7 linked regions of the Oryctolagus cuniculus genome follow. The protein of the gene in region 3 interacts with the protein of the main gene of each other region in a pairwise test. Links are inferred from orthologs where the notes say so. Each region holds a gene or a part of one and is shown on either strand. Other genes may lie near its edges. The genes, in order: CNNM3, TXLNA, CBY2, DZIP1L, ARMC7, CCHCR1 and PLEKHN1.

Evidence for each region.
Region 1: the proteins of CBY2 (region 3) and CNNM3 interact in binary tests that used the Homo sapiens proteins (3 or more experiments, as listed by UniProt). The two-hybrid records come from large-scale screens. The link is inferred for Oryctolagus cuniculus from reciprocal best matches to the Homo sapiens genes CBY2 and CNNM3.
Region 2: the proteins of CBY2 (region 3) and TXLNA interact in binary tests that used the Homo sapiens proteins (3 or more experiments, as listed by UniProt). The two-hybrid records come from large-scale screens. The link is inferred for Oryctolagus cuniculus from reciprocal best matches to the Homo sapiens genes CBY2 and TXLNA.
Region 4: the proteins of CBY2 (region 3) and DZIP1L interact in binary tests that used the Homo sapiens proteins (3 or more experiments, as listed by UniProt). The two-hybrid records come from large-scale screens. The link is inferred for Oryctolagus cuniculus from reciprocal best matches to the Homo sapiens genes CBY2 and DZIP1L.
Region 5: the proteins of CBY2 (region 3) and ARMC7 interact in binary tests that used the Homo sapiens proteins (3 or more experiments, as listed by UniProt). The two-hybrid records come from large-scale screens. The link is inferred for Oryctolagus cuniculus from reciprocal best matches to the Homo sapiens genes CBY2 and ARMC7.
Region 6: the proteins of CBY2 (region 3) and CCHCR1 interact in binary tests that used the Homo sapiens proteins (3 or more experiments, as listed by UniProt). The two-hybrid records come from large-scale screens. The link is inferred for Oryctolagus cuniculus from reciprocal best matches to the Homo sapiens genes CBY2 and CCHCR1.
Region 7: the proteins of CBY2 (region 3) and PLEKHN1 interact in binary tests that used the Homo sapiens proteins (3 or more experiments, as listed by UniProt). The two-hybrid records come from large-scale screens. The link is inferred for Oryctolagus cuniculus from reciprocal best matches to the Homo sapiens genes CBY2 and PLEKHN1.

What each region holds. Positions count from the first base shown.
Region 1 is NC_091433.1:110,906,312-110,910,479, reverse strand, and holds the start of CNNM3 (metal transporter CNNM3), read left to right. Parts: upstream 1-1,368; 5' UTR 1,369-1,411; coding exon 1,412-2,633; intron 2,634-4,168. UniProt on the Homo sapiens protein: Probable metal transporter.
Region 2 is NC_091438.1:140,262,502-140,265,996, reverse strand, and holds part of TXLNA (alpha-taxilin), read left to right. Parts: intron 1-267; coding exon 268-387; intron 388-622; coding exon 623-697; intron 698-1,573; coding exon 1,574-1,666; intron 1,667-2,435; coding exon 2,436-2,531; intron 2,532-3,202; coding exon 3,203-3,495. UniProt on the Homo sapiens protein: May be involved in intracellular vesicle traffic and potentially in calcium-dependent exocytosis in neuroendocrine cells.
Region 3 is NC_091440.1:64,764,465-64,768,402, reverse strand, and holds the start of CBY2 (protein chibby homolog 2), read right to left. Parts: upstream 2,801-3,938; 5' UTR 2,700-2,800; coding exon 2,625-2,699; intron 2,347-2,624; coding exon 2,266-2,346; intron 1,258-2,265; exon of another isoform or gene 1,243-1,257; coding exon of another isoform or gene 1,129-1,242; intron 1-1,128.
Region 4 is NC_091435.1:143,622,615-143,624,770, reverse strand, and holds part of DZIP1L (cilium assembly protein DZIP1L), read right to left. Parts: intron 883-2,156; coding exon 743-882; intron 1-742. UniProt on the Homo sapiens protein: Involved in primary cilium formation. Probably acts as a transition zone protein required for localization of PKD1/PC1 and PKD2/PC2 to the ciliary membrane.
Region 5 is NC_091448.1:5,391,084-5,394,407, reverse strand, and holds the end of ARMC7 (armadillo repeat-containing protein 7), read left to right. Parts: intron 1-1,387; coding exon 1,388-1,749; 3' UTR 1,750-2,824; downstream 2,825-3,324. Other genes in the region: NT5C (5'(3')-deoxyribonucleotidase, cytosolic type), read right to left, coding at 3,004-3,155, 3,266-3,324. UniProt on the Homo sapiens protein: As a component of the minor spliceosome, involved in the splicing of U12-type introns in pre-mRNAs.
Region 6 is NC_091436.1:139,347,023-139,349,894, reverse strand, and holds part of CCHCR1 (coiled-coil alpha-helical rod protein 1), read right to left. Parts: intron 339-2,872; coding exon 226-338; intron 72-225; coding exon 26-71; intron 1-25. UniProt on the Homo sapiens protein: May be a regulator of keratinocyte proliferation or differentiation.
Region 7 is NC_091438.1:164,381,874-164,385,966, forward strand, and holds the start of PLEKHN1 (pleckstrin homology domain-containing family N member 1), read right to left. Parts: upstream 2,801-4,093; 5' UTR 2,751-2,800; coding exon 2,668-2,750; intron 2,594-2,667; coding exon 2,509-2,593; intron 282-2,508; coding exon 135-281; intron 47-134; coding exon 1-46. Other genes in the region: KLHL17 (kelch-like protein 17), read right to left, coding at 3,288-3,914, 3,989-4,093. UniProt on the Homo sapiens protein: Controls the stability of the leptin mRNA harboring an AU-rich element (ARE) in its 3' UTR, in cooperation with the RNA stabilizer ELAVL1.

The sequences.
Region 1 (4,168 bases), on a different chromosome or scaffold from region 3:
TCATCTTAAGAGTTTTTCACAAAATGTTTCCCCCTTGGTCAGACTCATTTTTGCACATTACTTTCCACACAGATATGTTTCACTTGATTGTGGCCACTCTGCGTACTTTTTAATTTTTTAAACAATTTTTTTTAAGTTATATGACTGGCAGAGACAGAGAAAGAATCTGCCATCCGCTGGTCCACTCCCTAAATGCTGCCAACAGCCAGGGCTGGGCCAGGAGGAGGCCAGACCTGGAAACTCAATCTGGATCGACCCATGTGGGTGGCCAGGACCCAAATCCTGGAGCCATCTTGCTGCCTCCCAGGGTGCAGATGATCAGGAAACTGGGATCGGGAGTGGAGCTGGGACTCAAGTCCAGATGCCTATATGGAATGTGGTGTCCCAAGGGGCTTCTTAACTGCCATGCTAAACATCTTCCCCTAAACTTATAAACTGTCGTTTTCATGACAGAGCAAGTTGGCACGGGGCTATCCGCCTTAAAAAAAAAAAAAAAAAAAAAAAAAACAAACAAACAAACAAAAAAAAAAAACACCGCAAAAGTGTAGAGAAGAAATAATACAGCTCAGCTGCAGGGGCCAGCCTGAATGCAGTTAGACTAGAAAGGCCGTGCGAGTTTCTCGGCCTCGGACTGACGGACTGCCAGGAGCCGGGCAGGGATTCCTGACATCGCGGCTACGGCGGTGGCGGTGGTGGCCGGGGCGTCCCGACGCCTCGGAACCCAACACGCCCGCGGAGTCTTCCTGGACTTCGCCTTTCTCCTGTCAGACACTAGTTACACCGAGTAGCTGTGAGGATCCAGTGAGGCTGGGATCTCGTGTGCACGTTTCCACCACACGTCTCCCCGGCGGGAAAGCGAGTTCCTTGAAGACAGGGCCTGTGTTGGCGTCCCGGGGCCTACAGCCGCAGTTAAACCTCGGCACAACCCCAGCCGCTGGTTCTGGCTCCCAGGGCCCGTTCCTAGGAAAACAGCACGCTCCCACTCGCTTCCATCTCCGTCAGCAACTTCAGGTACGCCGGGACCCGCGGCTCAGGCGAGCACCCGCTCCCGCTCAGTGCTCCAGTCCCGAGCAAGGGCCCGCGGCTCCCGCGAGGCCTCGGGACGGGTCGGAGGCCCTGCCCGCCCCGCCACGCCCCAGCTCGCGGCTCCGCGTCCTCCGAGAGCCGGCCACCCAGTGCCTTCGGAGCGGCGGCGGGGCTCGCTGGGGCGGAGAACCCCACGCCCCCGGCCCGCCCCGCGCCGCCGCTTGTTTACTCCCCGGCGCAGCCTAGTCCGACCCTAGGGCCCGCCCCCGCCCGCCGTCTATTGGCCGAGGGGGCGCGAAGGCCGGTCATGATTGGGCCGCGGGAGGCGGAGGCCGCGGGACGAGCGGGGTAGGCTGCGCGAGAGGCCGAGAGGGGGCAGCAGGCGATGGCGGCGGCGGCGGCGGCGGCGGGTCGGCTGGGCTGGTTGTTCGCCGCGCTCTGCCTGGGCAACGCCGCGGGGGAGGCGACGCCAGGTCTGCGAGTGTTGGGCTTCTGTCTGGAGGAGGACGGAGGAGCGGTGCGGGCCGCGCCGGAGGCCACCTTCCGCCTGCGCCTCTTCGGCTCCGGGTTCGCCAATAGCTCTTGGACCTGGGTGGCCCCGAAGGGGTCGGGCTGCCCCGAGAGTGGGTCGACCGCGGCGCCCGAGGAGGAGGCGGGGGCGGCCCCCACGGACGAGTGGCGCGCGCTGCTGTGCCTGCGCTCCGAGACCGTGCGCCCGCACTCGGCGCTGCTAGCTGTGCGCGTGGAGCCGGGCGGCGGGGCGGCTGAGGAGGCGGCGCCACCCTGGGCGCTGGGCTTGGGGGCGGCCGGGCTGCTGGCGCTGGCGGCGCTGGCGCGGGGCCTGCAGCTGAGTGCGCTGGCGCTGGCGCCGGCCGAGGTGCAGGTGCTTCGCGAGAGCGGCTCGGAGGCGGAGCGTGCGGCGGCGCGGCGACTGGAGCCCGCGCGGCGCTGGGCCGGCTGCGCCCTGGGCGCGCTGCTGCTGCTGGCCAGCCTGGCGCAGGCGGCGCTGGCGGTGCTGCTGTACCGCGCAGCCGGCCAGCGCGCCGTGCCCGCCGTGCTGGGCTGCGCGGGGCTGGTGTTCCTAGTGGGCGAGGTGGTGCCGGCCGCCGTGAGCGGGCGCTGGGCGCTGGCGCTGGCGCCGCGCGCGCTCGGCCTCAGCCGCCTGGCGGTGCTGCTCACCTTACCGGTGGCGCTGCCCGTGGGGCAACTGCTGGAGTTGGCGGCGCGCCCCGGGCGGCTGCGCGAGCGCGTTCTGGAGCTGGCACGCGGCGGTGGCGACCCCTACAGCGACCTCAGCAAGGGCGTGCTGCGCTACCGGACGGTGGAGGACGTGCTCACGCCGCTCGAGGACTGCTTCATGCTGGACGCCAGCGCCGTGCTGGACTTCGGCGTCCTGGCCAGCATCATGCAGAGCGGCCACACGCGCATCCCCGTGTACGAGGAGGAGCGCTCCAACATCGTGGACATGCTCTACCTCAAGGACTTGGCCTTCGTGGACCCGGAAGACTGCACGCCTCTGAGCACCATTACGCGCTTCTACAACCACCCGCTGCACTTCGTCTTCAACGACACCAAGCTGGACGCCGTCCTGGAGGAGTTCAAGCGAGGTAACGGCTGGGGCACCGCAGAGGGGATGTCCGTGCCCGAGCTTGGCCCTGGGGAAGGAGAGGGGGCTCATGGGGCCGTCGGGGAAAAGGCCCCACTCCTGGAGAGGGCAGGGGGCCCTCTAAGGGCCGGTTTTAAGAGGGTGGTCGCGTTGCAGATGGGAATGACCTTTTAAAGTGTTTAAGGACCCCGCCCTTCAGAGGGGACAGAGTGCCATGGAACGCAAACACCTCTCTTTCTCTCTCTCTCTCTCTCTCTCTCTCTCTCTCCACGGTGGCCCCCGTGTTGGGGACATACCTCTCACTGATTCTAAACCTCCCGGGTCTTCCCGGCTCCCAGGCCATTTCTGTTGTGCCTGGGGTCGGATGTAGCAGATTGAAACTCTTGGATAGAAACTAAAAGGACACGGAGAAGGTGGCTTCCAGATCCGGGCCTAGCTGCCCCTGTGGTGTCCCCAGGGCGTTGGTGGGGTCCCTGGCTGATGGCTGTTTTTCTGAGTGACAAGGGCATGACTCATCAGTACTCCTCCTTTCCTACAGGTATGGAGAGAACTTTCTCTTTGATTTCATCAGAAGCAGCTTCGTGGATGCTGATTTAATCTCTCCTTCCCCTGACTTCCCCTTTTTTTTAAACCTCCCCTCAGGGTCTCTCAGCTTCTCCTCTAGCTCCTTTTCACCCCTCCTTTCAACCCTGGCTTTTCTGAGTGACTCCAAGGTTGAAGGTAAAACAGGCCCTCAGCGTGTGAAATGTGGGTCCCTCTGCAGCCGTCTGCATTGTCAGCCTTGGGGGTGCTATGTGCTTCTCTCACCTGAACTCCCGCAGGATCGGGGTGGGGGCACCCCGTGCTGTGGACGGGCTGTTAGCACGTGAGCAGAGCCCTCCGACAGCCCTGGCAGGAGTGACCATGGTCCTCCTGCACTGGGCACAGCCTCGGGCCAAACCCTGGTAGGTGCGTTGCACTCCACATGTCTTTTAATTCTTGGACCCACAGCTGTGTCTGGTCTGGTGGACTCTCTGGGGGCCCTGGCTCCTTCCCTTCAACGTGGCCATGCAGCCCTACTCTGGGGAGGGCTTTTGTGTGGGGCCCAGACACAGCGTGCTGGTGGCAAGTACTCTGTCTAGATCCCAAACAGTGGGCTCTCTCGAGGCGTGGTGGTCAGCAGTGTGGCCCTGGAGTCAGCCAAGTGCGTTCCATCCTGCCTGGCCTGCACTGTGCTCCTGGGCCCAGGGAAGGCTGCCTGCCTCTCCCGGCTCAGGGTCCTCAGTGGTTAGCGATAGGAGGGGTAATGAGAGGATCGGGGAGAGGAGATGCGGGGCGCCGGGGCCTGGGTGTTCGTTGCTAGGAGGGTGATGATTGCTCACGGCTGGGAGCTCTGCAGATGGGTAGGTTCGCCTACTCCTGGGGAACCAGTAGCAGAGGTCACACTGCAAGTGCAGGCTTTATCCCTTCTGCGTAGGGAACTTGTATAGAGGCCACAGCTGTCCCTTTGATGGCCTAAGCTGTCACATTTCAAGGTGTCTTAAATGCTCGGCTCAC
Region 2 (3,495 bases), on a different chromosome or scaffold from region 3:
CGAGCTGTGGGGCCAGAGGTAGGAGTGCATTTACCACGTGGCGCTCCGGGAGCTGATTCCCTCCATAAACTCCTGTTTCCACCCCCGTCGGACTCTGGACGAGGAATGAGGTGAAAGGAGTTGGAGCCCACGGCCTGTGGTGTACATGGGGATCCAGCATGTCAGATTGAGCTGGGAGGCTGGGCCAGCTGTTCTGGCCTCTGCGGATGGCGCCTCAAGAGAAAGGGGGGTGCTGACGAGCCCGCCTCTCCGCTGTCTTTGCTGCAGCACATCGACAAAGTCTTCAAACACAAGGATCTGCAGCAGCAGCTGGTGGACGCCAAGCTCCAGCAGGCCCAGGAGATGCTGAAGGAGGCAGAGGAGCGGCACCAGCGGGAGAAGGACTTTGTGAGGCCCGGGCCCCGGGGCTGCGGCGGGAGGGCAGGAGGTGGGCTGGGCTCTGCTTTGGCTCAGAGTCAAGTCTGTGTGGATGGGGAGAGGTGGCTGCCTGGCCAGACCAGGCACTGCTTCCTTAGACATCAGTCAGAGGAAGCCTCGGTGGGTCCAATGCTTGTGGCTTAAAAAGGCCAAACACAGCCCCTGGGGGCTTCTGACAGGGTCTGGGCTCCTGTCTTGGAAATAGCTCCTGAAGGAGGCCGTGGAGTCCCAGAGGATGTGCGAGCTGATGAAGCAACAGGAGACCCACCTGAAGCAGCAGGTGAGACCGTGAACCTGACCCTGGGCCACAGGGTCAGGACCCCTCACTGGGTCCCTTCCTGGGGGGATGAAATGGGGCCCTCATTCTAGGCCTGGCCCTGCCCATCTGATCTGTGACCTTGGTGAGTCTGTTCTCTCTGGACCTGCCCAGCACCTGTGACCAGCACCTGGGACCAGGTGGTGAGATGAGCCCAGGGGTCTTTCTGCTGTGCTCAGAGGCGGAGTGTTTGATTTTGAGGAGATGGGGACAGAATGGTTTTCTTTCTTTCTTTCTTTCTTTTTTTGTTTTTTGTTTTTTGTTTTTGTTTTTTGACAGACAGAGTGGACAGTGAGAGAGAGAGACAGAGAGAAAGGTCTTCCTTTTGCTGTTGGTTCACCCTCCAATGGCTGCCACAGCCGGTGCACTGCACTGATCCGATGGCAGGAGCCAGGTGCTTCCTCCTGGTCTCCCATGCGGGTGCAGGGCCCAAGAACTTGGGCCATCCTCCACTGCCTTCCCGGGCCACAGCAGAGAGCTGGTCTGGAAGAGGGGCAACCGGGACTCAAACCCGGTGTGCCAGCGCTGCTAGGCGGAAGATTAGCCTATTGAGCCGCGGCGCTGGCCTAGAATGGTTGTTTCTTATCACACAAATTTTACTTGATTCTGGAGGAAAAATTTGAAAATAAATAGACAAGCAAAACATGTCACCTTAAATTCTGCTTCCCAGGCTTAGCATTTTGGCTTATATCTTTCCAGATATATAGTTCTGGTTTAGTTGTAAGGGAAAATGGATCTCAGTAGAATTGTTGGGTCGTAGTGCCCAGGAGGTCTGAGTGTGTTGACCAGAAGTGCCTTCCAGAGAAGCCCAGTCTTACCGCGGGCCTCTTTCTCACGCAGCTTGCCCTATACACAGAGAAGTTTGAGGAGTTCCAGAACACTCTTTCCAAAAGCAGCGAGGTGTTCACCACATTCAAACAGGAAATGGAAAAGGTAAGGAAGCTTTGGCCAGCTGTGGCTCCCCGGATGCAAGCTGCTTCATCAGATCAAACCCTGTGCCTGCCTTGGGGAAGCCCCCACCCAGTGTGCCTCCCCAGGAGCTGTTCCCAGCAGCTGAGATTGATAGCAAAGATGGGCCACTGGGCGCCATCACAGCCTTCCTCTGTGCGCGCCCTCCTGGCTCTGCCTTTGCCTGGCAGTCTCGTCATTTGTTCTTTTTCTTAAAGACATGACTGAGGTGGAGCAGATTGGGTTCTTTCATTTTTTTTGTTTGTTTTTGTTTTTTAAGACTTACTTTATTTGAAAGGCAGAGTTGGAGTGAGATCTTCGCTCTGCTGTTTTGCTTCCCAGGTGGTAACAACCAGGGCTCAGCCAGGACTGGGCCAGGCTAAGCCAGGAGCCAAGAACTTCATCCACATCTCCCACATGGGTGGTAGGGTTTCAAACTGGGCCATCTTCCACTGCTTTCCCAGGCGCATTAATGGAACTATATCGCAAGCAGAGCAGCCAGGACTCAAACCAGTGCCCATAGGGATGCAGGCATCTCCAGCAGTGGCTGAATGCCACAGTGCCAGCCCCAAGTCTGGTCATTTCTTGTTATTGATAGTGGACATTAGAGACTTCCAGGTGACAAGGCGGCCCAGAAGGCATTATAACTGGGCCCTGAAATGCCTTGCACTTTGGGGTTGTTCCCCACCTCTGAGATGTGGCTGTGCCAGCAGCCCAGCTCTCACCATTTCCTCCCATCTGTCTCATAACCCAGATGACAAAGAAGATCAAGAAGCTGGAGAAAGAGACCACCATGTACCGTTCCCGGTGGGAGAGCAGCAACAAGGCCCTGCTTGAGATGGCTGAGGAGGTGAGTCCTGTCGGATCGGAGGCAGGGGTCTGCGTGCGCAGCTACCACGTATCAGGCCTTTCTCTGCCCGTCGGCAGTGTGCCTGGAGTGAAGTAGAGCCGGGACTCAGACACACTATCCAAGTAAAAGCAGTGCCAGCACTCTCCCCTCACGGCTGTGCAGTGGAAGCAAAGGGAACAAGTGGAAAACGGGAATGGAGAGGCAGAAAGCGACAGCAGTGGGCGGGGAGCAGCGAGAGGCACACTTTGCACGCAAGGCAGCCTAGATAATTTGAGATTTCGTGGCTGGCAGTGCGGGAACAGGAAATGACACTGGAGCAGCAGCTGCAAGCCAGACCTCACTAAGTGTTGTACATAGGCCAGTTCATTGAGCACTCTCTTGAGACCTGAGGTTGTGTTAGCAGTCCTGTTTTACAGATGAGATAGGCTGAAAAGCTAGTACTTTGCCAAGGTCATCTGGAATACATTGTCTGCTCTCCAAGCCGGGTCCCTTCTCTGCACCTCACTGCTGCCAGTTGACAGCCAAGTTGTGACATAAACTAGCTCTGATATTAGAAGGGACTGACTTTATAGACTCTGGTCTGCTCCCAACCTTGGGGAAGTGTTTGCTACCAGGTGGTGCTGATGGGGAGATTGACAGGATGGCACTGAAGATCCCGTTTTTCCCCCTAGAAAACACTCCGGGACAAAGAGCTGGAAGGCCTGCAGGTGAAAATCCAGCGGCTGGAGAAGCTGTGCCGGGCACTGCAGACAGAGCGCAATGACCTGAACAAGAGGGTGCAGGACCTGAGTGCCGGTGGCCAGGGCGCCGTCTCCGACAGTGGTCCTGAGCGGAGGCCAGAGCCCGCCACCACCTCCAAGGAGCAGGGTGTCGAGGGGCCCGGGGCTCAAGTACCCAACTCTCCAAGGGCCACAGACGCTTCCTGCTGCACAGGTGCACCCAGCACAGAGGCATCAGGCCAGAC
Region 3 (3,938 bases):
AAGACTTATAGAGCTAAGAGGTGACCTGGTGCAGCCAAGTGAGTATGGATATTGACCTGGTTCAAGATCCTGACTCCAACCCTACTATTACCTGAAGGGCTCTAGGAATTCCTGGTTCCCATACCTAGAAAATCTTACATTTGCGTGTCTTTGTGCTCAAAACATGATATGATCAATAGATCAATATTCAGTCAACACTTCTCCCCCTCTTTTCTCCTCTGCCAATGCTTACCTCCAATTGTGTGCACCATCTCATGTTGGGAGAGTTAGCAAACACATCATCTTTCTCACAGCACTAGTGGTGGTTTGCCCACTTCCTTCCTGCAGATGACTAGTCTACAGTATCCTGGAAGGTGCCTTCAACCTGCTTCCTGGTTGTGCTTCTTTGTCATGTGTACCCCTGAGGCCACATCTGTCCACATGGGGTACATGTGCCCAGATAATTGCTGAACATTTTCCTCACTGTACACCCACCCTGTCTTCCAACTGCCCAACAGCTGTACCAGGTCCTATAGCACAGAAAGTGGGTGGCCCCAGGACAAGCCAGGGACATAGTCTCAAGCCTCCTTTTCTCCTCCTTGATTGCTAGGATGTTTCTGGGAGTGGATAGGGGAAGTTGTGCTGGATATAGATAGAAGAATCTCTCCAATCTTTCTATCATGTGACCATCACTTATTTAAATCCTATTCCCACCCTCACTGTCACCTCCACCCCACCCTGGATTGGCATCTTCTACCCATCCTTTAACAATGGAAAGATTGAATTACACAGGCTATGAAGAATCAAAGGAGCAACACCGACCATCAAAAGGAATAGTGTCCAATGGAATTCCCTGTATACAACAGAAAGAATTGGACCTAGAAAGGTTCCTGTAGCTTATCATCATCCTGTCAAATGATCAGCAATGCTATATTCTGGCTAAGTCTCATGAGCTGAAACAGATAGAAAGTGTCTGTTACTTGCAGAGTTTTAAGGATAATGTGAAAACAAACATCCAGAATATTTTCTTGTCCTCTATTTGTGCCTCCTGCTGAACATACATGCCTAGATTGTTCAGTCACATACATAGAATGCCCACTGGTGACCCACCCTCCTACATGACTCTGGACAGAGCTGTCAGATAGTTACCTCTGCATTGGATCTCTCCATTCTACATTTCAACCCCTCTGACTGCATGCCCATGGTCTTCCAAAGGGGCCTTGAGTGACTCTGGGAGAAGCAAGGCCATGCCCTTTGTGACATAACAGCAGTAGAAACAATCCAATCAAGAGAACCCCACCAAGGAAACAGCCACTTGCAGGAGAAGACCTTAGAATCTCCAGCCTGTTGGCTGGTGCCGCAGCTCACTAGGCTAATCCTCCGCCTCGCGGCGCCGGCACACCAAGTTCTAGTCCTGGTAGGGGTGCTGGATTCTGTCCCGGTTGCCCCTCTTCCAGGCCAGCTCTCTGCTGTGGCCCGGGAGTGCAGTGGAGGATGGCCCAAGTGCTTGGCTCCCTGCACCCCACAGGAGACCAGGAGAAGCACCTGGCTCCTGCCATCGGATCAGCGCGGTGCGCTGGCCACAGCGCGCCAGCCACGGCGGCCATTGGAGAGTGAACCAACGGCAAAGGAAGACCTTTCTCTCTGTCTCTCTCACTGTCCACTCTGCCTGTAAAAAAAAAAAAAAAAAAAAAAAAAAAAAAAAAAAAAAAAAAATCCAGCCTGTCAGAACTGCACCTACACATTGTCCTAAAAAAACAAACAAGCAAAACAAACAAAACCATGCACGTATCCTTTATGCTCTCTCTTTGGTACACAGCAGGGCTTAATTCTATTGACATCTCCAAATGATACCTTAGCATCCAGTCAATGTGCTAGGTTTTCTCCTCATGGACTCATTCGTAAGCATTTGACCCCAAGCCCCAGGTCTACTTGTCCCCCTAGAAATCCAGAGTGCTAATACATCACCAAGCACCAAAGATCTCCCTTTGAGGATGAATATTTGATTGTTTTTTGTTTTTTTTTGTTTTCAGTCTAGCATAGAAACTTGAAATGTTAGGGTGGCCAGGTCATCTAATTCACACTCCTCGTATGAGAGAAGAGGAACCCAAGGCCCACAGAGGCCATGTTTCCTCCCCCAGGCACAGAATGGGTGGGTGGTCAAATGCACAACTAGAATCGGAGGCCTTGACTCTTCAGCTTACTCCACATCAGGCTGGAGTTTTGGAAGAGGAGTGTTATTCTGCCTTAAACGGGCAGATTTCATCCTTCTGTGATTAATCCTACCTGAGGCAGAACCACATTGATTGGGATTTCTAGGCTTTCAGATCTGGTATCTCGTTTTCTTGTAAAATTTGGCCTCGAGTGCTGTAGAAAAGAGAAAAGAGGAAAATTTCTGTTGCCCAACCCACCCTCTGGGCCTCCATTGCTCATCTGACAATTATAGGACTTTCTACTCATTTATTTGCTTCTTGTCAATTAGGTACATTATGAAAATCTGCATCTGCAAATGTGTGTGGACAATCTCTGATATTTTATTAAACAAATTCATACAGATACTATAGCTGATGTCTTTGAAGCACTGATTGCTAATATCTACATCCTTGTGTAAGACTACTGTTTCCCTCCCAAGCAAAAAGCCATACCAATGTGAGGTGCCAGGTATAGGTCCTGTGCAGAAGTTGGTCACCAAAACACTCAGAACATTCCAGAGGTGACATCACAAAACAATATGGTGTTCTGCAGGGCTCATGGTTTCTCTCTGAGCGTCACAGGTGGGAACGAAGCATCTGGCAGGTAGGAAGAGTTTTGCAGCATCTGTGACCACGTGGCTAAGTAGGGTCAGTGTGACACACAATACCCCAAACACCAGGCCCTGATTGGTCATCCCCACTGCCAGGCCGTCCTCTCTCCAGAAGGGGCATTATCTACTTGTAGTTGTATTGCTCAAGAAGAAATACCAACTGAATTCCCAGACCAAAGGAGGAAAGAGGGACTCAGGAGCTTTGTGGCACCACTTGATTCCCCAGGGCTGTCACCAGTGGACGCCCTGAAACCATCGACCTGGAGCGAGTGCCAGATCCCAGAGGTTAGGTGCTCAGTCCCACCAAGCTGCCTTCACCTCAGATGCCACTTGTACCATTGACTGATCAGCTATAAACCAGGAGTTCCATGACCCCTTCTTTGGCTTCAATAATTTGCAAGAATGGCTCACAGAACTCAAGAAAACACTTTACTTATGATGACCATTTTCTTATAAGGGGCACAACTCAGGAACACCAAATAGACGGGATGCACAGGGAAGGTATTGGGCATTGAGGGTGGTGTGGAGTGGCCGTGCCAGCCCTGGGCAGCCACTCTCCCAGCACGTCCACGTGTCCTCCCACCAGGAAACTCTCTGAACCCCACTGTTGAGGTTTCATTACACAGGCGTGGTTGTTTAAATCTCCAGCCCCTCCCCCCTTCCTAGAGGTAGGGGTTGGGGGGTGGTGATGAGAGTTTCCTCTTTTTAATCACATGGTCAGTTTTTCTGGCGGCAGCCCCCAGCCTTCAAGGGTTGCCTCATTAGCTGAAACTCAGGTGTGTTCCAAAGGGGCTCATTATGAATAACAAAAGACACAGAGGAAATGCCAAGGATTTTAGGAGCTCTGTGCCAGGAATCAAGGACAAAAGCAGAGTTTATTTTCTTATTATACCACGGAGGTAACAGCATCAAGACCACAATGCCCCATGCCCTGGCCTCACTTCGGGCAAATCATTCACCACTAGAGGCTGTTCATGGGAGCCTTTTCTTGTACCGTAAGCCAGTGGCACACCCCAACCCTACGTGCAGTAAGAAGGGAATGACGGACCAGAGGCAGCAGATCCTGAGACACCAGCCAGAACCACCTTTTTGAGTCCCCCACACCCAAATTTACAAGAAAGCTTTGCTTTAAGACCTAACATGCGGCCGGCGCCGT
Region 4 (2,156 bases), on a different chromosome or scaffold from region 3:
TTTTCTCTCTCTGCCTTTCTGTAATTGTGGCTTTCAAATAAATAAATAAATCTTAAAAAAAGAAAAATAAATAAATAAGACCACAATGGGGCAGCCCCCTTAGCTTGGCCTCTGATGAGGGCAGCAGTGGAGCCTGGGGCACAGGGGGAGCCAGGAGATAGACAGCGCTGGGCCCAACCCAGGCTTTGATCCAAACTTTCCACCGGAACTGCCTCTGAGGGCGCTCCCGCAACAGCCTAAGGCCCTCCCCCAAGGCCCATCTTCCAAACACCATCGTTAGGCTATCTCTGCCCTCTGAATAGCAGTACCTGATAAACTGGGAGTTCAGAGTGCCCCCTGAGCGCAGGAGCCGAAGCACGCTCAGGCCACGGCACCTCCCTCGGGGGAGTCTGCCCTACACCCAGCCTAGTGCTGGGCTCCCAGGCAGAGCGAGGACTGGGGAGTAGGCAGAGTGGGAGGAGGGCAGCCACTGCCGGAAGCCAGCCGGGCAATTTCCAGGCTCTCCCAGAGGCAGAGATACGAGTACCAAACCTACCAAGCAGTTTCCATGATGAACCAGAAGGCTCTGACGTCAACACGCACACAACAAGCATTCCCAAGTGGCCGTCTCTGTCTGTGCGCATGCAGGGGGGGGGGAGGAGACGGGGGCACCTGCAGGTGTCGGCCCCTCCCCAGCCCCCGCCCCATGCCGCCCAGGACTCTGTGGGGAATGACAGGGAACCCCGAGTGTCCTGCAGCCTACCTGGGCCTTCCTTCCTGCCGGGGCCGCTCCCCGTGGGCCAGTGCTCGGCCTTGAGAACAGACTAACCCCTCCTGAGGGCTTCTTCACGGGCGTCTCCAGCTGCTTCTCGAGATTCCGGACCATGGACTGCACGAGGGTTTCTGGAAGGCGGACAAGCGGCCCTGTCAGGGGGAAAGCCCAGAAAAGGAACGGTCCTGGGGGCGGGGGGGGCATGTCCAGGTTCCAGGTGCACAGAGGACGTGTGCAGAGGACAGGAGGGAGAAGGCAGGGCAACCACAGAGAAGAGGAGTAAGAGACAGAGAAGTTCCGGGCCAGCGTGCGCCCTGAGTGAGCAGAGGCCTGGAATAAGCTGCATGTTCTTTAGTTCAGTCTTAGCCAGAAAATGCAGCTGAGACGGCGGTGAGCCATTCTGTAAGAAAACCTTGAAAGAGTGGGAGTAGGCATGGTCATTTTGGGAAGAAAAATGCTCAGTGAGCCACTGTGGGCTGTTAGGAAATGTCACGTTTCAGGAATATTTGCATCCCAAGTCCCATCATGCTTGGCATAAGTCTCCACGATGCCCTTTCCACGCACAAGGTGAATTTCGAAGTCTACTTGCTGAACAGGTCAAAGAGCTTTCCTGTAAGACTAATAGGATCCCCTGGGGTCCACGGGTCGCTGGCAGGGACTGGAGGCTGCCCACCGCAACCGAGTGTGGCTGCCCGGGCCATCACAAGATTCGCTAGGAAAGCACATTTCTTACTACTCTTTCGATACAAAAACACATACTTGTTAGACTACTCGTGTTTGTTAAAAGGCTCACTGTTGGCACCCCGTCTGCCCTTAGATCTTTCTCCCTGGGTTTGCCTGGAGGCTGCTTTCACTCTTCTGACCTCCCACACCCACGCTGCTGCGCAAGAACCCAGGCAGCATAAGAGACTGGAGCTGGTTTCACGATGAGCACAGCCAGCCCAAAGCAGTCGTCCCCGAAAAAAACCCTTTTACTTTTTCAAGTAAATAAATAGTGACTCCACCCCGCTTACTTCAGGGACATAAAAGAGAACCTCGGTTGGCTGCGACACCAGCTCTGTGATTGGGAACTAGCCACCACGCCTCAGAGGCATGGACCCCACATATCCCTCCACTTACACCAGGTTACACCTGGCACAGCCACCGCAAGCTGCAAATACTGCTGTTGAAAGATCATGTCACACGGCTCACTTCGCCAACGCCACTGTAACTTAGCCTGGTCCACCGTGAGTGCACCCAGAGCACGGGGCCGGGGGTGGGGTCAGGGGGTGGGAGGTTAGCCATAGCGGCACCAAAATCCCTAGGCAAAGCCCACCTCCCATCGAAACGGCTGACTGCCCTGTAAAATGCAGCACTGACAGTGAAGTCACAGTGCTCGGGTGGACACACTCTCACACCCCAGGGA
Region 5 (3,324 bases), on a different chromosome or scaffold from region 3:
GACTCCGGGCCCTGGGGGAGCAGCAGAAGAGGGCACTGTGCCCTCTTGCTGGGGAAGGTCCGGAAGCCCACTTCTCTTTTTGAGTCTCCAGAGAAACAGGGAAGTGGGTGGGGCTGGACCTCCTGCTCCTGATTGGTCCATCAAGACTCCTTGAATATCTTATGTAAATGAGCTGAGACAGGGCTCCCTCCAACTGAGCAGGAACCTAGAGGTGGGGGCGGGGCAGTGGCAGGAAGCTGAGTTGATGCGCAGGAAGCCCTCTTCCAGCATTGAGTAACCAGTGCTAAGCACTGAGCCTCTAGACAAGGCAGCATCTGTCCCCAGGGCGGGGGGGGGAGGTGATTGAGTTGAGGCTGCCTGAGCTGAGAGCAAGGGGGAGGGGTCTGCTCACACCTCCTGAGTACATGGGTTCCTTCTGGAGCCTTCCCTGCTTCTCCCAGGGTCCCAGCAGCAGTGGCACCGGCCAGGGGGATGAGTTGCCCTCATGGGAATGGCACTAAATGCCGCAGTGCGGTCGTCCACCTGCAGCCGCTGCTCTCCACCGCAAGGTGATGCAGTGTTCATGGACTGGCTGGCACAACGGCCAGGAGAGGCCCCTTCTCTGTTAGAGATTCGTGTGCATTCACAGGCTTCAAGATTATGGGATGAAAAATAGATGACTGGAGGGTAGGAGTAAGCTGCTTTAGCCGCTGTTTAGTAGGTGTGTTGAGGTATGACTGATGTAAGTGGTCCATATTTGAAGGGTACAATTTGATAAGCTTTGACATGTAAAAACCATCACTTTACCTATGTATAAAAATTCTTCTAAAGTGATGGTGGGCGAAGTATTGTGTGTTTTTTGTTTAAAGATTTATTTATTTATTTGAAAGGCAGAGTTACAGTGGCTGGAGGGTGGACGATAGATGTCCCATCCACTGGCTCACTCCCCAAGTGGCCACAACAGCCAGAGCTGGGCCAAGCCAAAGCCAGGAGAGCCAGGAGCTTCATCCGGGTCTCCCACGTGGGTGGCAGGGCCCAGGTACTTGGGCCATCCTCCAGCGCTTTCCCAGGCACATTAACAGGGAGCTGGGCCAGAAGTGGAACATGTAGCAGTTTAACCCATTACACCACCACAACAGCCCCATTGATTTTATCTTTAAAAAAGAAAAACATGTCAGCCATCAAGCTGGATGAACCAAGAGGGAACGGGAATTTTGCCCACTTCAGAAGTCCTTTCTGGAACCTTTGAGAGAGAGGACAGGAGAGCACACAGACTCTGGATCCTGGCTCCAGGGCCAGCCTCTCACAGGCCTGGGTCCTTCCCGGGACTCCGTGGGCAGGGAGGCTTGGGGAGCAGAGATGGGAGGAAGCCCAGGGCTGCAGCCCAGACTGTCTTGCTCTCTCGCAGGAGGCCTCTGCAACCTGTGCCCGGACAGAGCCAACAAGGAGCACATCCTGCAGGCGGGGGGCATCCCGCTCATCACCAACTGCCTGTCCAGCACCAACGAGGAGACGGTGCTGTCCGCTGTCACCACGCTCATGTACCTGGGCTCGCCGGGCGCCGGCTGCCACCCGGAGCTGACCGCCATGCCTGTGGTCCAGTGCATGCTGCGCTTCTCTCTCTCGGCCAACACAAGGCTCCGGAACCTGGCCCAGATCTTCCTGGAAGACTTCTGTTCCCCAAGCCAGGTGGCCGAAGCCCGCAGCCGGCAGGCCCACTCCGCCCTGGGCATCCCACTGCCAAAGTCCGAGGCCCCACAACAGCCCTGATCTGAAGCAGCCCCTGGGCGGCAGCAGCTTACTGCCAGACACCATGGTCGTGGGGCAGGGAGCAGGCGGGGAGCAGGCGGGGAGCAGGCAGGGAGCAGGCGGGGAGCAGGCGGGGAGCAGGCAGGGAGCAGGCGGGGAGCAGGCAGGGAGCAGGCGGGGCCGGCTCCCCTGGGCACGCTCTGCCAGGACTGTGCTGTCTCAGCCACTTCACAGGTGAGTTTCGCAGCACGACAGATACTCTGATGAGAGGGCACTAGGGCAGGAAGCCAGACTCGGGGACACATGGAGACGGACGCCAAAGCTGACGCCGTCTGCACAGGCTGGCGCTGCCGCACTGCTAGGTCCCTGGGTCCAGAGGCTTTCAGAGGGGCAGGTTCTGAGCCGGAGGCAGAGAATTGCCTGCACTTGAAGAAATAAGGGCCTGCAGTCATTTTGAGGAACAGAAATGATCTGTGGGCATAAGAGCACGGGCCCCAGGGAGCCGGGGGCGTCACACCTCCTCCAGGGCTGCGCTGAGATGGACCCCTCCCGTCCAGCTCCCAGGCTGGCACCCAGGCGTGGCAGTCGCCGAGCTGGGTGCAGGATGACGTCCTGCTGTCTGCCAGACATCATGGAAGGGACTCCGAAACGAAGGCGCGGTCCCTGCCCTCGAGTGACAGCCGTGACTGTTAACGTGGCATCAGGACCAAGGCCGTGCGGGTGACGCCGCCTCAGGACAAAGGCAGAGCTGTTGGAGCTCAGTCTGTGCCCTCACCACCCGCGCCCCCCCCACACAGTGAAGGGGGGCCCTCACCCCTGGAAGTACCCCACGCCCCCCCACATACACATGGTGAAGGGGGGCTCTCACCCCTGGAAGCACCCTGCACCCCCCCCGCACAGTGAAGGGGGCCCTCACCCCTGGAAGTGCCTCCGAGGCAGGGACTGGAGACATTCAGGAAACGTGGGGCCAGAGTGGTGCCCAGGCGGGCGTGGCACTGAGGCAGGTTCTGCAATCTGCACTCGGGAGAAGGGACGGAGGGGAGCCATCCTCAGCCCCGTTCCAGCTGCTCCCCAATAAAAGGTCTCCAAAGACAGAGTCAAAGTTTTTTATTAAAAGCGTCATGACTGCTCTTCCCACTGTTCCCATGCCAGCCCGGCACTGGGTGCAGCCATCCCTGGAGATGCCAGCTGGCCGGGCCTGCACCAGTGTCTCCCTGGCGCTGGTGCCACTGGCTCCAGGGGGCTTCCCTGCGGCCACTGTCCACACGGGCCTGTTCACTGCCGGCCGGCTCTGCGCTTGCTGTCTATGATCTCCCTCCAGTTGTCGCTCCAGGAGAGCAGCCGCCGCCTGGTCGGGGGCAGGGCCAGGTGCCGATTGTGGCAGCAGGTGAACAGGATGTGCTCCCAGCTGGGGGTCTCCTCGTGGCCTAGGACAGGGGAGCGGCCAGCAGGTGACCGGTAAGCTGGTTATTTTTACTCCCGCCCCCTAATCCTGGCCGGCCAGAGGCCTGGGGTTGCCAAGGATAAACGGTCCAACCTTGAATGGTGTCCTTGTCATCAATGAGCAGGTCCCCCAAGACCACGGTCTTGTCCCGC
Region 6 (2,872 bases), on a different chromosome or scaffold from region 3:
CACACACACACTGCCCACACTTTACCTCTCCAGGTGCAGCTGTGCAAGGGCCAGTTTTCGAGCCATGAGACCTGGAGAGAAAAGATGGAAAGCGACAGGTTGAGTTTGCAAGGGGAGTCCGGGAAGCAGAAACGTGTGGGCTGGTGAGCAGGAGGAGGAAGTGGCCGAGGGATCAGAGGGCTGGGCCAGGATGCAGCTCAGAGCCCACCACCACCCCCAACTCACTGCGGACAGTGTGGACCTTGCGGACGGCATAGCTGAGTCGGTTACTGAGGCTGGGCAGCCGGGCCACCGCCTGCTCCACCTTAGCCATGGTGCTCTGGAGGCAGACCTGGGAGCTGGAGGAGCACAGGCCGCTGACCGCTGACCCGCACCTCACCCCCACAGGGCCTGGGGCCTGCACAGACCCCTCCCCCCATCCTGCACTGTCGCACAGGTGGGGGTGGGGGGAAGCAGGGAAGGGAAACAAGAGAGGCTAGGGGTAGGACCTGGGGCACGTGTGCCCCAACCTCATGCCCTATGCTGCAGCTGCTAAAACAAAACCTGGGAGGAGCTTTAGCCTTTTAGCGACTGTCACAGAAATACGATCTGGTTGCTTATAAAAATATTTTAAAAAGCACAGCTATTCCTGGTCCCACAACCCATGCAGAGTAAACTTCTCATTTGGATCCTGAGAACCAGTGTCCCCAATAAAAGCCCTGCAATCAACACAGCAAGGTGCAAGGAGCCCCATCTGGCCCCGGGCGCCCCAGGCTGTAAAGGGCTCAGTGACAACAACGCCGCAGGGCCTGGTCTCTGCCTGATGGCCACTCGCTCCCCTGCAGGCCACGAGGCCGTCTCCAGGGCCTGGGATTCCTGGCGCTGGACGCCGCGCCACGTCTGTGGTGGAAGAACACGGCCCGAAGCTTCCATGTCTAAGGAGCCCCTGCCCCTCAAGAAGGCCTCAGACGACTGCCTTATCTTTTCAGGCAAACTCGGGGCTTCTTTTCTTTTTCTTTTTTTAAGATTTACTTATTTATTTGAAAGGCAGAGTTACAGAAATAGAGGGAGAGACATACAGGGAGAACTCTTCCATCCACTGGTTCCATCCACAGGGCTGATCCGAAGCCAGGAGCCTCTTCTAGGGTTCCCACATGGGTGAAGGGGCCTAAGCACTTGGGCCATCGTCTACTGCTTTCCTGGGCCGTGGCTTTACCCGCTACGCCACAGCGCCGGCCCTAAAGCTGATTTCTCACCACCTGGTCTTGGATCACTGCTGCGCAGCTCTCGAACAAGCCCAGGAGTGTGGTTTCCCTGACACGTGAAGGGCAGGTCTGTGAGTGGCATCAGCTGCTGGCCCAGAAGCAGAACCAGCACGGCCCATGAAAACTGAGGGGCTTCAGCTGGGAGCCCTGGGAGGAGGCCCAAGGGGAAAACGGGGGCAGGCCTGGAGCTTCCTCGGAGACGGAAAAACAAGCGGTGACCACAGCAAGTACAGCGAGGAACCCTTTCGGTGGGAGCGCCCAGCACAGGCCGTGGCTCTAAAGCCACTTCCAGGGGTGGGTGTGAGGAGCAGAGGTCAACAACACGGCCGCCTCTCGGGACGTCTGCATCGCACATGAGTTCAGGTCCCAGCTTCACTTCCAACTTCTGCTTCCTGCCAGTGCACCCCATGGGAGGCCGCAGCAGGTGACAACTCTGGTACTTGGGTCCCTGCCACCCACGTGGGAGTCCCACATCAAGTTCTGGGTTCCTGGCTTAGGCCAGGCTAAGCCCCAGCTGCTGTGGGCATTTGGAAAGTGAACTGGTAGACAGAAGAGCTATCTTTCTCTCTCTCTTTCAGTTTCTCTGGTTTTCAAATAAAAAATAAATTTAAGAAAAACTTTAAGATCCATCTTCTGACACAGCCATTGAGTCACCTAGGGACTGTGTCGCCAACCTGGTAACATCCCAAAGTTGGTGCTTTCTGGCAAGAACTCAGCGAGAACCCTGCCTGACCCCTGGGCACCACAGGAAACCCTGCCCCCGGCCTGTCTTTCTGCTCTCCTGGAGGCAGGCGCAGCTGCAACGGGCGGAATCTGGGTGCTGGCTCGCATACCCAGGCCGGTGCGGAGCAGGTTGCAAATGGCTCCCAGTTTGTTCAAGCCAATGGGTTCCCAAGGAGTGAATCCAAGAGAAGGCCGTGGCTGCAAAGGCCCATCCTGCTGACCCCCAGAACTCCCCTGATGCATCCAGGACAGCCCTGTGAGGACCGTGGACAGTCAGAGCACAAACTACACACCAGCACCGCACCAAGGGCTCCACACGGACCGCCTACCGCCCATCCCAAGGACCCCGGTGCCTGGGGAGGCCGCTACTAGCACGAAGCAGCTCTTTCCCAAGGCTCTATGACAGCCTCAGCAAGGCCATGACTACCAAGTCGGCATGAGGGACACGGGCTGCAACTGCCTTAGAAGGTACCGGGCCGGGGCTGGCGCTGTGGCACAGCAAGTGAGGCCACTGCCTGCAGTGCCAGCATCCCATATGGGCGCCGGTTCAAGTCCAGCTGCTCCACTTCCAATCCAGCTCTCTGCTGTGGCCTGGGAAAGCAGTAGAAGATGGCCCAAGTCCTTGGGCCCCTACACCCACGTGGGAAACCCAGAAGAAGCTCTTGACTCCTGGCTTCAGATCGGCACAGCTCCGACTGTTACAGCCAATTGGGGGAATGAACCAGAGGATGGAAGACCTCTCTCTCTCCCTTCCTCCCTCTCTCTCTCTCTCTGCCTCTCCTCTCTCTGTGTAGCTTTGACCTTCAAATGGGTAAATAACTCTTTAAGAATAAAAAAAAGAAGGGACCGGGCACGGCATTGCAGATGCGAGATCTAGCAGCAGGCATGTAGCATTACATGGATTA
Region 7 (4,093 bases), on a different chromosome or scaffold from region 3:
AGTAGAGGTGGGCAGGGAACAGCTCCAGGTAGCAGTCGCTGGTGTCCTGGGGGGAGCAGTGCTGCAGGTCTGAGGAAGGGCCCGGCCTCAAGGCATCTGGGCCCCAGGGCGCGGCCCCCCAGCCCGGCCCCCACCTGGCTGTGCTGGGACCGCAGCTGGACCTTTGCGTAGTGCACGACCTTGCCCAGGGCCCTCACGGGCACCCTCCGCCTGGCCTTCTTGTACACGCTCAGGAAGGGTGGCTCCAGGTTCTCTTCCTGGTCCTCCGGGTCCAGGGTGTCCTGAGGGGGCAGAGCTCAGGGATGCGGCCTGACCAGAGCCAGCAGCCCAGCAGGGGGACACATGGCCACAGACACTAACCTGCAGCTCAATAATGTGCACAGAAACACGCATGCACACATGCACGTTACACACGGACATGTACATGCACAAGGACACACGTGCACAAGTGCCCAGGGACACACGTGTCTAGGGACACACGTGCACACGTGTACATGGACACATACCTGCACAAGGACACACATACACAAAGATACACATGCACATTGCACAGGGACACACACGCGCAAGGACACAATGCACAGAGATGCACACATGGACACACCCCATGTGCACAAGGGCATGTGTGCACAGGGACACACGTGCATATATGTACAAAGATGCACATGTACATGAGGACACACATATACATGTGCCCAGGGACACACATGCACATGTGCACAAGGATGCACCCTGCACAGGGACACACATGCACATGTGCACAAGGATGCACCCTGCACAGGGACACACGTGCAGGTGCACATGGACACACCTGCACAGGGAATACACACACTGCACAGGGACACACGTGCAGGTGCAGACCCTATCCACCACCTTTCACGCAGCACAGTGCAGGGTAAGTACACAACACACATGGAGAGTCCCACAGATAACACAGAGATGCCACGACTCCTGGCACAGCCCTGGTCAAGCCTCTGGCGCAGCAGTAAGGGTGCCACCCGGTCAGCCCCTGCCGGCCTGTGCCGCTGCTCCAGCTCCCCATGGGGCACCCCAGGTCTCAGCAAAGGCCAGGATCCTGGCAGTGGTCGGAGGGCTTCTCCTGGAGCTGTGCCCCTCCCCACTGCCTCCCCACGCAGGCACAGGCCCACTCAGCCCTAGCTCCCCACCTGGGCCCCTCTCCGCTTCTGCAGACCCCAGTAAGCCCCTCTCCCACTGTCCCCTCCGTGGCAGCCACACTCTGACTTCCTGTGTCTCATCGTCGGTCTGGCCATGGCAATGGGAGCACCGTGACAACCAGACGCCATGGCAACTGGGCACTCTGCCCGTCTTCCTGGCTGCTGTGACCCTAGGACCTGGGACAGGGCTGGGATGTGCGGGGTGCCAAGGCCCACGTGTCCAGTGGCGGGCAGGAGGGTGGTGCTCACACAGCCCTCCACTGGGCACTCCCCAGGGCCTGTGCCCCGGCTGGGGCTGCGGAGGCCGAGGGGCTCGCTGCCAGGGGTCACGTGCCCCTGGGTGTAGGCAAGGGCTACCTGCTCAGCAGCTGTGCTCTGGTCAAACTAAGCTGCCTCTTGGACAAGCCCAGGAATGCGGACAGCCGGACAGACACAGCTTCCCCAGCCTCCCTGCCTGTGGGTGGGGCCTCCTGCACCCATGCCGAGTGGGGGCTCATGCCAGGATAGCACCCATGAAAAACAGGACATCCGTGGGCAGGGCCACACAGCTGTCCCCGCCGCACAGGGGACGAAGCCTGGCACAGAGCTGACCACAGGAGCCGAGGCTCAGCCAGGAGAAAACACTCTGTAACTACCTAGAGCTCATCCCCTCACCCCGGGCGGCCCCCGTCCCGGGTCCAGGCCCCTCTCCAGCTGCTGTGACCTGGCAAGGTAGGGTCAGTAGGGACCGCACACTATGGGAGCCCCTCAGGGGTGACCATGTAATGTGGGTCTGGACAGATGGACTTGGGGTCTGAGATGCGGCCCAGGGGGTGACCCTACCCAGGGCTGGCACGGCCAGCAGAAGCTCCCCAGCCACGAGGGGCAGTGGGAGGGGGCCAGGGAAACCAGGCACCAGGTGGAACCTGCCCACCCGGTGGGCGTGTCCCTGGTTCCTCCTTGAGTCCACCACCACCTGGGGATGGGGTTTCTGCTGAGGAGCCCTTGGTCCCACGGGGGCTTCAGTGCCCTCCACCAGGTCTGTGGACAGCCGCCTGCAGTACGTGAGGCCCTGTACAGGCACTGGCCAGCCCGAGCTGCCTGCAGTCCAGACCCTGGTACAGTGGCAGGGAGGCCCCGCCCACAGCCCGCCCCTGCGGGGTGCTCATCTCTGAGTCAGCCCCGCCTCAGTTTCGCTCTCCCGACTTTCGGGACAGGAGCTCCCCAGGGCGGGGCTGCCTCTCCCTCCCACTGTGATCTGGGCCACAGCCCCCCTCCAAGGCCGACCCCAGCCAGGCACCGCACAGTACACAGTCGCCCACACGCGGGGACATGGCAACAGAGGGGTGCTCACCGGCCCAGGGAGGTAGTGGAAGATCCTGTCGGCTGCGCTGTCCCCGGCGCCAAGCAGGCTGGCCAGCTGCCTGCGGCCGTCCTCCCTGTGGACAAGCCCAGGGGCTCAGAGCCCGGCCAGCTGGGCACAGACCCAGGGGGCCCCAGCCCCGCCTCTCACCTGCTTCCCTTGAGTGACGGCTTCCTGGAGAAGGACGCCCGGAGCCTCCTGGGGGCCTGGGGGACGCACTGGCTGTTCCCCATGGGTGGCAGTGACCAGCCAAGGCTGAGCAGGGCGCCGAGTTTGGGTCCCTGTCCTGAGCCTCCAGCCCCCACCCTGCCCAGGGGGCGGGGCTCTGGGCGGTCCTACCCCTACCTGAGAGCCAGGCTGGGAGGAGCCCTTCTGGGAGGGACTTGGCTCCCGCAGCCAGCCTCAGGTGTGAGGCCAGGGGCCACCTCCCCAGAGAGGCGAGGCCTCATCTCAGCCTCCAGCTCCGCCCCCCAACATTCTGTTTCCACATAAACCCCAGGTGGTCTGAGTCACTGCTGAGGGGAGATAGGGTTAGGGTGTGCTAGCAGCAGGGAGGGGAGGGGAAACCAGGACCTGTCCCCCCGCCCCCAACCCCAGGCTGCAATCCATATCCCAAAGGTGCCCAGGATGTAAGGGTGAGCCGGGGCCCACTCTGCGCAGGCAGCTGCACCCAGGCCTGGGCGTGGGCAGCCAGCCACTGGGGCCTCACAGCCCACTGCACCCCACCCACAGAGCAGGACATGGGGACAGAGGGGGCCAGGGATGGACACTCAGCCGCAAGCCCATGGAGCCCCAGAAACACGTTTATTGTCCACATCGGCTGTATTGCTGTGTAGGATCTGTGTGCCCAGCCTGGCACGAGACCCAGGACATGGGGACGGCACCCCGAGGCCAGGAGCAGGCGGTGTGCAGAGCAGGCCAGGGTTGGCCCTCCCCCCAGCATAGGCTCTCAGGAGGTCACCCAGGGTGGTTCGGTCCCCAGACCCAAAGGACGGCGACGCTTTAAAAGTAAACAAACGGCTCATCCGCAAATAAATAATAAACCAATAAATAACCAATAAATAAACGGCACACACAGAGATGAACACCGAGACACTGACAGACGGCGCGGGGGGCCGGGAGAGGGGGCGTAAGGCACGTGGGAGGCCTCCGTGCGGGGCGCCGGGGCTCAGAGGCTGGTGGAGGACACAGACAGCGTGGGTGAGGACGGGGGCGGGAAGTTGAGCAGCTCCAGCACGGCCACGCCCACACTGCTGCGCCGGGTGAACATGCAGGACGCGGCCACCCACTTGTTGGCCCGGGGGTTGTACTTCTCGATGGAGTTGAGGCTGGAGCTGCCGTCGTTGCCCCCTACGGCGTACAGCCAGCCGTCCATGGCCACCAGGTCGTGCGTGCTCCTGGGGGTGGCGGGGGTTAGCCCCGGGGCAGCGCAGGGTGAGCCCTGACCACCGACCCTGGCCCGCAGACCCACCTGCGGATGCTCATGGGCGCCACGCTCTCCCAGGCTGCGGCCTTGGGGCTGTACCTCTCTACCGAGTTGAGGCAGCTGGTGCCGTCGTTGCCCCCCGCCACGTAC